Tribolium castaneum: one gene and its partner. The protein of the gene in region 1 binds, or shares a complex with, the protein of each later gene. Links are inferred from orthologs where the notes say so. Each region holds a gene or a part of one and is shown on either strand. Other genes may lie near its edges.

Region 1 (2,973 bases):
ACCGTAAATTATTATTAACGCGGATCAACATAACAATAAATGCACAGAAACGTAATCATTAGAAACGCACATTGAGAGAAAATTATCAAGACAGAATGTGTCAATTATTTTTTTAAATAAGATTGATAAAATTGTAAAATAGTTATTAACTTATTAATGATAATTCTTTTATTGGAAGTATAAATTACATTAGCTATTATTCTTTTAGAGTGCATAAATAAGTTTATATTAGTTAATTTTGAGAGAAAATGCGACGTTGCCGTTTTTATAGTTTTGAAACAGCTAATAAATTGTTACACTGTGCAAGAAAACATTTTACTGTCGGAGCTTATTTCCGAATTGGAAACTTATTAAATGGAGAATAAATGGTGTTTAAATGCTTGTCATTAATTAATTCTACAAAACGACATTTCTGATAATACATGGAAAATTCACAGACGACTAGATGAGAATAATTGAAAAACATATTGTACTATTTTGTACTACAGTTTGTACTATAATGACAAAATATAACAGTAAATCCTGAAAACTCAAATGTAAAACAAACTATAAAATGTTTATTTATTTCATTTTTAGCTATTTTATTGTAGACTAATAAGACCGATTACATTTTAGAATGTTTTTTTATGATCCTTTTTAAAAAATATAGCGATTAAACTATGGTTACATGATTCTATCAAAAATATATAGGAAATAACTTATAGAAAAAAAAGACCCCATTATAGCAAGTACCATTCGTCAAAATTATAATGAAAATATTAATAATATGTGTTACTAATAATGACATTTGTTGATTTTAGTAATGATTTCGATAGCTTGTTTTGAAATTGTAAGAAGAAAATAAAAAAATTATTAATCAGTATTTTATTTGTTTTAGATATTATGCTATTGTGATAAAAATGGCATCAGACCAAATTTTTTATATTTACAAGTCACTTTTTAATTTTTATTCACAATTTCCATTTTTATTTTAAATTTTTTAATTTATTTTATAAATATAATTGTAAATATGAATATAAATATAAAATATAATTATAAATAAATAAATAATAATTTTTTTTTGGATCAATACTGTTCTGTTTTTAATATTTTTGTTTATGATGTCTCTAGATTTGACAGATTCTGCCTGTGAATGTTTCTGGAGATAGACTCTTTTGTCAGTGTTTTCTGTTGATGACTTCTAGACGTGATTTACAATAATACTACAATAATCACACAAAAAATCAAAACATACAGAAACATCAATTTTCTTGTGTCACGCGCTATTGTGTAATAATTATTAGTCTATTTTTTCTAATAAATAATCGGAATTTTGGCAGTTTGTTATCACGTGACCGGTGGCTAGAGTTACATAACATGGGCCACAATTTCGTCAAAATCATTAAAATTATCAACGGAAAGTGTAAAAATTGTTAAAAACAAGTATTTCGTAATATATTAAGTCGTAAATGACCCCCTGCGAATCGCTGATTAAGAAGGTCAGGTCAATCCGTAGTCACTTCCGACCACCTGTCACCCTTTGAGGTTATATTGTCATGTCGTGGATTGTGAGCTCCTCCCTGACTTATTTCCAGCGTTTTTGCGTGAATGTGATAAAATGCGGTCCCATTCCGCGGCACATCGCCTTCATAATGGACGGCAACCGGCGCTACGCCACCAAAACCAAAGTCGAAAAGGCCGAAGGCCACATCAAAGGTTTCGATAAACTGGCGGAGACCCTGCAATGGTGTCTCGAATTGGGGGTCAAGGAAGTGACCGTCTACGCCTTCAGTATCGAGAATTTTAAGCGGAGTCGCGAGGAAGTCGATACTTTGATGAAACTAGCGACGGAAAAGTTCCGACAATTGCTGGACGAAAAAGAGAAGATTATGAGCGAGGGGGTGTGCATTCGGATTATTGGCAACTTGGGGCTGCTTTCCCCCGAGTTGCGGAAACTAGTAGCGGAAGCTGAGTTAATGACGAAGGACAACAACAAGGCGTTTCTCAACGTGGCTTTTTCGTACACTTCTAGGGACGAAATTTTTAATACGGTGCAAAGTATAGTCAAGGGGGTGCAAGACGAGGCGTTGGACGTGGAGGACATTGACGAAGACTTGATCTCGGGGGCCCTGTATACGAGTTGTAGCCCTGACCCCGACCTGATAGTGCGCACTTCAGGGGAAGTGCGATTCAGTGATTTCCTCTTGTGGCAAATTTCAAACAGTTTTATCAGTTTTACAAAAGTTTTGTGGCCGGAATTTTGCATTTGGCACTTGCTGGCGTGCATTTTTTACTACCAAAGGTCTTACAACGACTTACAACAAAAAAAAGCCCGTGTGACAAGCGAGCGGGCCCAGAAGTTTTTACACCAATTGCAACAGCAAAAAATTACGCAACTGAAAAGTTACACATGAATAAATTATTTCGTTATTATTTAATAGTTTCATTTCCACGTGACTAATTATCTCAAATATAATATAAACAAACCGATAATAAGCCGTCTCGTGTCAGTCGCTCGCTAGACTTTGAACCGAAAATGTCTGTCATCCGCAAAATAATCAGCACGAACAAGGCCCCAAAACCGGTGGCCCCTTACAAGTAAGTTAAATTATTAAAGTCAGGGAAAAATTAACACAAAATTCCAGCCAGGCCGTCCTCTTGGATAAAACCTTGTACGTGTCGGGGGTTTTGGGGTTGAATAAAGACACCATGAAGCTGGTGGATGGGGGCGCGGGGGCTGAGGCCCGCCAAGCCTTGCAATCCCTCGGCCACATCCTGGAAGAAGCCGGTTCTTCCTTCGAAAAGGTGGCAAAAACCACAATCTTCCTCAATAACATTGATGATTTCGGGGCTGTTAACGACGTTTACAAAGACTTCTTTACCAAGAATCACCCAGCGAGGTCTACTTTCCAGGTCGGCAAATTGCCAATGGGGGCCAAAGTCGAGATCGAAGTCATCGCAGCCGTGGGGGATGTCACACAAATACCATCTAAA
Region 2 (2,901 bases), on another chromosome or scaffold:
CTGCTGAAAGAAAACAATCACCGGTCACACGTTCCCCCACTCCTGAAAAAACAAACGATAATCACAACACACAGGTAGACGCAAAATCTCAAGGTCAGTAATTGAAACAAAACACTATCGGCACAATTACACGTGCCTACTTTGTGTTTTTGTTAATGTGGTGTTCACAGGACGGAAACAAACGACGAAAAAACGTGTTGTTCGTTCATCTTCGTCGAGTTCGTCGCGAAGTCGGTCGACAACACCCGAAAAAAGCCGACGTAAAAAACGCTACTCTCGAAGAAGTAGGTCGAGGTCAAGGTCGTCTTCGTATCGGAGGCGGAGGTCGAGGTCCAGGTCCAGGTCCCACCGGCGCAGCCGACGGTCAAGGTCACGGAGTGGTGGTAGGGGTAAGAGGTCGCGCCGGCGCTGAAGTGTTTCGATTTTGTTTTGTTTTATGTATATAAGTGTCTTCCTAGCAATAATTATTAAAGTGTTTAGTTGAGGTTTTAAGTGAATGTAACGATTTTCATTTGCTGAATAAATATCTGCGAGCCTTATTTATTGTTTTATTGAGTGTCGGTAACCGACAGTTTTATAAATAGTTTTGCACCTTAATTATTACAATTTTACTTGCCATATCTCTGTTCACACTTATTAAACCGATATAACAAATGAATAAAAGTCTCAAGTGTGATGTTGTGGTGCGTTTGCAAGGTAAGAAATTCAGTCACTCGAATTTGCCAGGGTGGGTAACCGTACAAACTGAAAGTTTTGCCACAACACACCCCCAAGTCGGGGTCAGGGAACTCAAACTGTTTTAAAAGTTCAGTTTCAAACTGTAACAAATCACTGTTGGCAGCACTGGCGAGTGTTTTCGTAACGTTGGCTATGGTTCCACGGCCGTCTTCCTCCCCCAACAGTTTGACGTGAATTTTGCGCCCTTTGTAGCCATTTTTATGGACAAAGTCAGGCCGGCTGTGCCAAATCACGTGATCCTCTTCATTTTTTTTCTCTTCGACAAGTTGACGTAACTTGTCTTCGCATTGCCGTAACGACCCTAAAACCGACCTTTGTGCTTATCAACTAACTGAGATAACAATATCGAACCTTTATAATCGTAGAAACTGATAAATGTGATCCGAGCCGACAAACACCACAAAATCAAGTTGGCCAAGTCTTTCACAGCCGGCTCTTCGTTGCCAAGCAACACGGTTAGATGTGTAGGGACTTTGGTGATTTTTTTGGGGCGGCTGTCGATCTCGTGACACAGAAAAATGAGGAGTTTCTGACGAAAAATTGATGCAATTATTTCGTAAATTGTGTAAATCACGTTCAAGGTTAGGTAACACGCGCGGTGGATCACAGACGGGGACTTTTGGTCCATTTTTACACAGATTTTTATTCACATAATAGCACGTTTTAAGGATTTTTTTAAATCTCAGTGAGTGCGAGATTAAAGAACATGAGACACGGTGTCATAAAAAGTGCCCCACCACTTTTTGACGTTTGGTTTGACAGGTGGAGTGGGTGGTGGCAACACTGACGTCACGATTTAATCAAATGGAACAAAAAAATTCAAAAATTACGACCCATATTATTTTATTTAAGTGCGCTTTTGTTTCATTTTGCATTTTTACGACCGCAATTATCAATTAATTTACATGAAGTTGATGATGGGGAGAACAGAAATCTGTAACGCACAATTCCTGCTTTACCGACACCAATAATAAAAGGAATAAAAAACTTTATTTCATGAAAAATGTATTCCTTCACTATTAAAAGCATGCAATAACACCATAAAATCATCAATGTCCATTGTGCGGGCCCGCTTTTGGTCCCCTTCTACTTGTTTCAAGACTTGCTCCACTTTTTCCTTAATATTAAAACCGGGGGGTATTTCTTTATTATTAACACTACAAAACGACTTGTAATTCTTCTCAAGCGTTGCCAAGACCACCGATTGTCTAAAAGCAGCTCCCAAAGTTTTATTTTTCCGCGAAAATGCGATTCTTGTAAGTCCATCCCACTCCGTGTAAGAAATAGGTGGCGGTGGATTCCTTGGTTCAATTCTAACCACAGCCGACTCAACCTTAAACAATACCAATGTTGCCACCCCAATTTGCCAATTAATACCAACCTTTGGTGGGGGCCTAAAATTATTTTTCCCCACTTTCATCAACATATCAACACGGGCCAGAAGCTGCGTGTTGATAGACAACCGACAGTAGAGCTTGTCTCCAGGGACGGCAACTAGCCGATCGGCAAATTCCTTTTGAAACATTAAAACAGCACACCGAAAAAACGGACGGTGCAAAAGTAGCTTAAACACTAAAGGTGACGAGATTTGATAAGGGATATTAGCCACGCAAACGCTAAAAAAGGGCAATTCTGTCTTCAAAACGTCCCCAATCAGGATTTGGAGTTTGGACTTGAAAGGGCTATTCTGGACCCTTTTTTGCAATTCTGCCACCAGTCGATGGTCAATTTCACACGCGACAACCTGTTTAACACTTTCGAGGAGCTTTAAAGTCAAGTTTCCGGTCCCAGGGCCTATTTCAAGGACGGTGTCGGAGGGCTTAAGGGCCGCCTTGTCCAACATTGAGGTTATGACAAGGGGGTTCTTGAGGATGTGCTGACCGAAGGACTTGTTGAATGTGATGCCTTGTTTGGCCACAGCGGCGTGAATACGCGATTTTTTCTCCGGTTTCACTTTTGGCATTTTGAGGTTACTGTGACACTGACATGTGGTCACACAAATTAAACTTTAAAATTGCACTCAAGAGACACAAAGGGTACTCCAAATTATGTCACTAAATGTATTCAAAACGTTCAAAAATCAAAATATGGGTTTATTCAGGAATTTTAGCATTTATTTGATCATGATGAGGCAACTAGCAATACGCCAATTTGTATTATAGG

The links. Proteins that work in one complex are often made in the same cells at the same time.
Region 2: the proteins of Dhdds (region 1) and Tango14 are in contact, whole or in part, in a crystal structure (PDB 7PAX), measured with the Homo sapiens proteins. The link is inferred for Tribolium castaneum from reciprocal best matches to the Homo sapiens genes DHDDS and NUS1. Residues at the interface, in NP_995583.1 of Homo sapiens: Arg37, Arg38, Glu81, Asn82, Lys84, Arg85, Arg159, His160, Ile162, Ser163, Val166, Arg167, Met169, Ala170, Trp171, Val173, Glu174, Pro180, Ser181, Ile183, Ser184, Glu185, Leu188, His199, Glu209, Val210, Arg211, Leu212, Ser213, Asp214; in NP_612468.1 of Homo sapiens: His137, Gln138, Pro193, Glu194, Lys197, Ala198, Ile200, Val201, Ala204, Gln205, Phe207, Cys208, Gln209, Val211, Ala212, Arg217, Pro218, Thr219, Leu221, Asp222, Val223, Leu226, Asp237, Pro246, Val247, Asp248, Ser249, Thr250, Leu251, Gly252.

What each region holds. Positions count from the first base shown.
Region 1 is NC_087399.1:8,505,778-8,508,750, reverse strand, and holds Dhdds (dehydrodolichyl diphosphate synthase complex subunit DHDDS), read left to right. Parts: upstream 1-1,284; 5' UTR 1,285-1,535; coding exon 1,536-2,393; 3' UTR 2,394-2,412; downstream 2,413-2,973. Other genes in the region: rutC family protein UK114, read left to right, coding at 2,516-2,577, 2,625-2,973. UniProt on the Homo sapiens protein: With NUS1, forms the dehydrodolichyl diphosphate synthase (DDS) complex, an essential component of the dolichol monophosphate (Dol-P) biosynthetic machinery.
Region 2 is NC_087400.1:4,145,778-4,148,678, forward strand, and holds Tango14 (dehydrodolichyl diphosphate synthase complex subunit Nus1), read right to left. Parts: upstream 1,513-2,901; 5' UTR 1,367-1,512; coding exon 1,090-1,366; intron 1,040-1,089; coding exon 609-1,039; 3' UTR 535-608; downstream 1-534. Other genes in the region: arginine/serine-rich protein PNISR, read left to right, coding at 1-93, 171-412; probable dimethyladenosine transferase, read right to left, coding at 1,733-2,071, 2,120-2,701. UniProt on the Homo sapiens protein: With DHDDS, forms the dehydrodolichyl diphosphate synthase (DDS) complex, an essential component of the dolichol monophosphate (Dol-P) biosynthetic machinery.